Linked DNA regions of Saccharomyces cerevisiae S288C. Changing the gene in region 2 together with the main gene of any one other region gives a genetic interaction. Each region holds a gene or a part of one and is shown on either strand. Other genes may lie near its edges.

The links. A genetic interaction does not mean that the proteins touch.
Region 1: of LMO1 (region 2) and AUR1, a mutation in one rescues a mutant of the other (synthetic rescue), as found in Saccharomyces cerevisiae (2 studies listed by BioGRID, with this or other methods).

What each region holds. Positions count from the first base shown.
Region 1 is NC_001143.9:433,707-437,340, forward strand, and holds AUR1 (inositol phosphorylceramide synthase), read left to right. Parts: upstream 1-1,873; coding exon 1,874-3,079; downstream 3,080-3,634. Other genes in the region: BYE1 (Bye1p), read right to left, coding at 1-1,171; mitochondrial 37S ribosomal protein bS6m MRP17, read right to left, coding at 3,391-3,634. UniProt on the Saccharomyces cerevisiae protein: Catalytic component of the inositol phosphorylceramide synthase which catalyzes the addition of a phosphorylinositol group onto ceramide to form inositol phosphorylceramide, an essential step in sphingolipid biosynthesis.
Region 2 is NC_001144.5:133,800-138,022, reverse strand, and holds LMO1 (Lmo1p), read left to right. Parts: upstream 1-1,723; coding exon 1,724-3,721; downstream 3,722-4,223. Other genes in the region: SPO75 (Spo75p), read left to right, coding at 1-83; ERMES complex subunit MMM1, read right to left, coding at 157-1,437; YLL006W-A (uncharacterized protein), read right to left, coding at 1,502-1,678; DRS1 (putative ATP-dependent RNA helicase), read right to left, coding at 4,036-4,223. UniProt on the Saccharomyces cerevisiae protein: Forms a transiant heterodimeric complex with DCK1, that acts as a guanine nucleotide exchange factor (GEF) for the small GTPase RHO5. DCK1, LMO1 and RHO5 relocate to mitochondria upon oxidative stress and trigger cell death.

The sequences.
Region 1 (3,634 bases), on a different chromosome or scaffold from region 2:
CTTGAGGTTCAGCGATATCTTCGATCAGCTCATCACCCTTGTGGGTCTTAACGTACATGGGTTTGTCAGGTACCTCCACGATAAAATTTTCTAAGATAATCTTATCCCTTTTCTCTTTAAATTCTTGTAAGTCAGGATTTGCGAGTTCAGATGCGTTCATGTTCACCAGTTTATTTAAAGGCAATTTGCCCTCGACAACGTGTGCCTTCAGTTCCAAATTTTTTTTATCCTTTAAATTAGAGTATAACGACCTCACTTTCTCTGTGTATATCTTGTCCAAAGTACCAAACTCGACGTTAAGGCAAGCTTTGTAAAGTTCTTCTTCCAGATTGTGCGCAAACTCTTGCGATATCGATATAACGTCTTTCCCATCAGGAAGCTCATAAAGTTTTGCCTCAATTGTTTCGGGAACGATGAATTTGCTAAATAAGGTAGAGAACATTTTTTCTGCATTATACCTCAGTTTGTGTTCTTTTTCGCTTTCAAAATCTTTCCTAGTAGGCATTTCGTTTTCGGCAGTATCAGACTTGGCGGCATCAATGCTTTTATTCCTTTTTTTTGACCCATTGGATTTCTTCACCTGTTTGGATTTGATATGAATTCCTTTGGCACTATCGGGGCTCCTTTTTCGTTTCCTAGGGCTTTCCTCATCAAGAAAGACATCTGCATCATTGTCATCATGGTCATTTACGGGCTTGTAAACATCATCATGGTAATCTTCATCCTCTGAAACCTCTGCCTCCTTTGACGTTTCCAAATGTGCATACAATGATGGGTCGCACAATTCACAGTAGTACTTAGAATCTTCACTCATTAGCCCATCTATGGTGTCTTTACCATCAGTCATACATTTAATATGCTGCCAAGTGTCACAGCCATCGCACTGTACCATGTCGCCATGCGAATATTCTGCAGCATCGTAGTTTTCATTGTTCGCCCCACACAGACATCTAACATAGCCCTCATCCGCTTCGTCTACTTCGTCTGTTCTTACATTTTCAGTATCTTTCCTTGGCTCCTGAGAAGAATCAGACTTCTTATTCTTCTCTATGGCTGAATCAACTTTCTTTTTAGTTCTTTTTTTCTTTGGTGCTTCAGTCTCCTCCTGTAACAAATACTCAATATATTTATTCTGACCCTTATTAGATCTTGAAGAAGTACGGACAGACATAATAAATTTAAACTAAATAAAAGCTAAAAGTAAAAGAGAACCTAGGATAATCGATAGCTCCCTGTGTATAGAACAAGTCAAAATACTAAGATCTCGTCAACCTATCCTCTTTCATTGCAAGCCTTTTGGCCAAACTGCAGTCTGGGCATCCCTTTGCATGTCTTGTGAAATAGTATCCATCTCTCCCCAGCTCCCAGAAATGATATGAAAAGTTATTCGTGAAGAGTGATCCTAAAACTGAAAAAAGGAAAAAACAAAAATGAGCTAAAAAAACCACAACAAAAGAATATCAACTTCATTGCTTGGCGGGTCATCGCTTTTTTATTTCTTTCTGTCAAAGAATAATAAAGTGCCCATCAGTGTTCATATTTGTTACAAAGTGGTTTTCTGATTTGGTACTACTGCAGAGGCGTATTTTTTGCTTCAGTTACCATAGCGTAAGAACACTAGCGACTTTTGTTCGTGAACCAACAGAGTAGGATTTCTACTGCTACATCTCTTAGGTAGTTGGTTAGTCCGATCGCTCACTTTTGGTTGTTGTTAAGTACTTCATAAGTTTATCCTTTTCCTTTTTCACACTGAGCTACTTTGGGTATAGCTTTTGGCCCAAGGATCTTTGAATTTTCTCCAAAAGTACTTTATTTTATATCCTACAGGTTGCGGTTTTCATATTTTAAAAAGCTTTTAATCATTCCTTTGCGTATGGCAAACCCTTTTTCGAGATGGTTTCTATCAGAGAGACCTCCAAACTGCCATGTAGCCGATTTAGAAACAAGTTTAGATCCCCATCAAACGTTGTTGAAGGTGCAAAAATACAAACCCGCTTTAAGCGACTGGGTGCATTACATCTTCTTGGGATCCATCATGCTGTTTGTGTTCATTACTAATCCCGCACCTTGGATCTTCAAGATCCTTTTTTATTGTTTCTTGGGCACTTTATTCATCATTCCAGCTACGTCACAGTTTTTCTTCAATGCCTTGCCCATCCTAACATGGGTGGCGCTGTATTTCACTTCATCGTACTTTCCAGATGACCGCAGGCCTCCTATTACTGTCAAAGTGTTACCAGCGGTGGAAACAATTTTATACGGCGACAATTTAAGTGATATTCTTGCAACATCGACGAATTCCTTTTTGGACATTTTAGCATGGTTACCGTACGGACTATTTCATTTTGGGGCCCCATTTGTCGTTGCTGCCATCTTATTCGTATTTGGTCCACCAACTGTTTTGCAAGGTTATGCTTTTGCATTTGGTTATATGAACCTGTTTGGTGTTATCATGCAAAATGTCTTTCCAGCCGCTCCCCCATGGTATAAAATTCTCTATGGATTGCAATCAGCCAACTATGATATGCATGGCTCGCCTGGTGGATTAGCTAGAATTGATAAGCTACTCGGTATTAATATGTATACTACAGCTTTTTCAAATTCCTCCGTCATTTTCGGTGCTTTTCCTTCACTGCATTCCGGGTGTGCTACTATGGAAGCCCTGTTTTTCTGTTATTGTTTTCCAAAATTGAAGCCCTTGTTTATTGCTTATGTTTGCTGGTTATGGTGGTCAACTATGTATCTGACACACCATTATTTTGTAGACCTTATGGCAGGTTCTGTGCTGTCATACGTTATTTTCCAGTACACAAAGTACACACATTTACCAATTGTAGATACATCTCTTTTTTGCAGATGGTCATACACTTCAATTGAGAAATACGATATATCAAAGAGTGATCCATTGGCTGCAGATTCAAACGATATCGAAAGTGTCCCTTTGTCCAACTTGGAACTTGACTTTGATCTTAATATGACTGATGAACCCAGTGTAAGCCCTTCGTTATTTGATGGATCTACTTCTGTTTCTCGTTCGTCCGCCACGTCTATAACGTCACTAGGTGTAAAGAGGGCTTAATGAGTATTTTATCTGCAATTACGGATACGGTTGGTCTTATGTAGATACATATAAATATATATCTTTTTCTTTCTTTTTCTTAGTCAGGATTGTCGTTTAGCATAATATACATGTAGTTTATTTAATCACATACCACTGATTATCTTTAGAATTTTATAAATTTTTGAAATAAATGGGTGGCTTTTAATGGTGTCTATGTTAAGTGAGGCTTTTAGAATGCTCTTCCTGCTTTGTTTATTATATGTGTATGAAAGATATGTATGTATTTACATGTGTTTGTAGCGTCCCCAGTCAAAACCTGTGCGCTATACCTAAATGGATTGATAATCTTCATTCACTAATTCTAAAATAGACTTCTTCCCCAAAGAACGGTGTAACGATGAGGCTCTATCCAGCTGCTTATCTAAATCAACTTTAACGATGGATGATCTTATGACACGGGGATCTTTCTTTAAAGTTCTTAGAATTTCAGACTGTACCGCAGCTGATGAATCAAACAGCATTAAAAAGTGATATGCTCGAAAATGTTTTTCCTGGTCTTTCTTCATTATTTTA
Region 2 (4,223 bases):
CGTATCACCTGAAATTCGATCTTAATATGTATTCAATGAATTTATTTGGTGATTGTCACTTGGAGAATAGCCACTTGCACTAACCAAAACTGGAACACCAAAAATGAGGCAGAGAAGATAGGAAAAAGATAGAACAAAAAATTTGTACATAAATATTTATAACTCTGTAGGCTTTTCTTCTCTCGTATTTTTACTACGTGGCCACATACTTGGTAACCTGACAAATTGGAATCTTGGTTCAACGCATCGTTCAACGAACCATTTTTTTATTTGGTATTCAATGACACTGCCGATCTTGGGAATATTTTCAAGTTTAGACCGTGAGCCAATTAGCGACTTGATTTCAAATTCCATTCTATATTCAGGAGAAAAAGAAAACATCAAAAAGTATCCTGAATTGCCCTCCATACCGTTTTCACTACTGCTACCGTTCGAAGTAGAAGCAAACTCCTCTGCATTAGTTAAAGATACGGTCAAACACGCCTGAAACCTCACAATTGACACTACTAGATTTATGGGGAGTGCGGCAATACCAGGCTTTGGATAGTTAAGTAATAGTTTTGTTTCTACTCCTAAAGTTAAGTGGTCATTTAAATCTATATCAATTTTAGCCTCTAGCTTTTTATTTCCTGAATTTGGCGAATATTGTATTCTGCAATTCGAGAAAATGGGGAAATCATCACCTGTATCCAGTTCAGTTATTTTTATGGTATCCAAATATTCAGGCAGATCGGGTGATTTTCTTCCAATAAAATCATTCAAGGAATGAAGGATATTGTCCCTGTGCCAAGCCTCACTGCGGAATTGCTGTATTATTTGGGCAACTAAAACGTTGAACCAGTCCAATGACTCTGCAGGGTGCACGTCGACATTATAATAGGTTTTCTCTAAAATAAGAGCTAGTTCTTGAAGATGTTCATTTTCTGCCTCTTCATTGAGCTCGTAGTGTTGTTTAGCACCCTTCCTAACAAGAGAAGTCAGGAATTCGCGAGATATAAAGGGATATTCTTTAAATTTTGATCTGTGACGGGAGGCTGCAGGTTTCGGATTCTTACTTTTAGATGGCTCATCACTGAATATAAAGAACTTTAGGAAAAAGATGAACAACAACACTATGCTTAGCTGTCCTACAAAAAACCCTTGAGCAAACGACCATCCAGAAAATTTGGAGGACGTTGCTAACGATCCTAACGAAGAAGGATGCAACACGCTTTGCATTTGCAAAGCTTGAATTGCATCATCGAGACCTTTGAAGCTCCCGTTTTTACTGACATTAAACTCTGAGTTGTTTGAAGTTTGCTTTAAGTCATTAGTAGTAGAACCCTTCAAATTCTCCATGATTAGTCTCTGTAAATGTTCAGGTAGCTCTTTGCTTATATAATCGTCAAACGTCATTAACGAATCCGTTTCGGTGGATTCATTCTCACTATCAGTCATTTTCAGAAAAAGGCTACAGGTATTATATTGACTCTCTCAAAGTTCTTTCATCTCATTGAGAAAATTATGAGGGGCACTTATTGTTGTAGATGATCTTTATTGGATGTTGACGGTTCTTCGGAATTGAAACGGATAGGCAGAAAGTGAAAAAATAAACTATTAAGGAAATACATGAAAAGAAGTAAACTGAAATGTATACAAGGGCAACCCGTTCCACGTTGGATTGACTCAATTGTGTCATCAGTAGGAAAATAGATTAAAGTAACCTCAAATAACGGCATAAGCAATGAAGCATAACAGGCAGATGCCAGATGAAAGCTTGGAAAACATAAAAGTGCTACTGAATCCTAAATTAGGAAAGCCAGTCAAGTCACTTACGAGTGCACAATCAAAAGCTTGCTATCATACGCTGATCAGTAATAAAAATTTGAACAAGACAAGTGATGAATACGAAAAGTTATTGGCAAACTATATCCTCCTTTGTGATGAAAAATACCTATGTAAAACCGTAATTCCAGATTCCCGATTTTGGGCTATATTGTGTGATAATTGCCAAAAGCTAAGGTCAGAAACGTTGGTAGCAAATCTCATTAGGATTTTTAATGTAGCCCTTAAATGCCAAGATTCTAATAAGAATGAAGTTATTGTGAGCATCTGCCACATCTCCAGAGAGAACTCTCAGCTCATTGGAATACTTTTACAACTTTTGTCCCAAAGACCTATTCATATACCGTTGTTTACGGACACTATACTATGCATAACCCTATTTTTAAAATGCTCACTTACATTATGTGAGACATCACTATCACACGCCGTAGAATTTGTACCCAGAATCCTCATTTTGCTATTTCAGTATAACTTTCCAGCTTCCATGTCTGAATTACTTTACATAGAAGACTTGCAACCACTAATCCTTGAAGAATTTGTACCGTTAAAGCAGAGGCTAATAAATTTTCTATCTTCGGTTAGTATTGATGATTATTCCTGTTCGCTTAAAGCTGATCTTCTTACAGCCATCAAAGATAACTCCGTATTCCAAAAAGGGTTAGAAATGGAAATGGGCGATCTTCCCAGTATAAATTTATTAAATGCGTATGATACATTCACATTCTTAAACAGTCCTAATGGGTCTTTCAAGAGACTTTACACTGAACAATTGTTGTTTGGCGAGAACGATTTCCCTCTTTATGAAGCAATATTTAAACTTTCAGACCAATTTAGAAGACTTTTCAATCTAAGTGGGAAAAAAGAGAACCAATACTCAGACTCAGAGCGTGATTTAAAATTACAAATTGCTACCGCTGTTCTCAATCGACAAACATGTTTTTACAAAACACTCGAGTTGTTTTTGAGATTTTGGATAGAATCATTAGCAAAATCGCAAAGTGATTTGGTTTCACTGTTAAATTTAGCTATTATCACTTTAAAATATGTTTGTTTGTCATCCAGTGATTTGGAAGCAGCAATACAGACGAAATCCCTTCTCAAGACCCAAGTTGTTGCACTTGACTCTATGAGATATAAATTTGCAAGAACATTACAATTAGACTCAATCAAAAAAGAACAGTATCGAACCTGGTCATCTAGTATCGCTAGCTTCGATACCATGCTATCAGGCCAGGTTCGTGATTACGTTCGTCATCAAAGACTTCTTCAATTGCAAAAGGGAACGTGGGTTTACGCAGAGAACCCACTGAATCCTGAAGCTGGCACGCCTAAAGTCTACTTCCTCATAGTTTCAGATAACCACGCAAATTTATTAGCCAGAGAATTCGAAACACAAACAAACGATTTACCTTATCTATTCGACAATAAAATTTTAACAAGTCCAGGTTCTGAGGCATTAGCTAATGGCAGAACAAAAGTTGTTGTTTTGAAACATATAACCTCTTTCAAAAGCATAGAACTTACTACACCGAGTCGTCGGACGAGCAGTAATGTTTACATCAAATTAGATGAAGCCAATGTGTACACTGGAGTTGAATTAAAAGATCGTAACGACAGGACAGTTTTGAAATTTTATTTAGACACAGAAGAGGGAAGATATATATGGCTAGACGGATTGAAATTGATATCTCCATTCCAGCATGAAGATATATCAGAAGACACGAAAGAACAAATAGACACTTTATTTGATTTGAGGAAAAATGTTCAGATGATAAATTTGAACGTTCGTCAGGACATCATAGTGCCTCCACCTGAACCAAGCGACGAGGACGAAGATGAAGAATTTTATAACTTGGAAACGTTAAAGAAAGTAACCCAAAATTTTTATTTTGATTAAGATACAAATTTGTCGTCAGACGATTTTTTTTTATTTATAACTTTTTTTTACTAGAATGGAATGTAATTTTGTAATTCTTTCCCGCAAGTAGCTTGAGTCTCCATTCAGTTCGTTTGTACTTGAAAAATCCTTTTAATATAGCATATAGCTTGCAGTTTATTAATACTCACTTCTACAGATTCAACAAAAAAAAAGGAATTTTTGACTAATCCCCTGTTTATTAGATGAATTAATGATATTTAAATACAAAGTATTAATAATATAATGACAGTGATAAGTATGTTGATATTTTATGATAATGACGATGAAAATTATTACCTACGGCTTTTGAAGCCCTTCTTCTTATTTGAATTTGTACTCTTCTGCTTTTTAAAAGTTCTTTCTTGATCTGCAATACGGTCGGTTTTGGTTTTTCTATAAGAACGTGCACCATTGCCATCTGCCTTAGCTTCTTCACGCTTTCTCTTTTTGCTGTTAGTGACTTTCTTGTTCCTTGATAAAG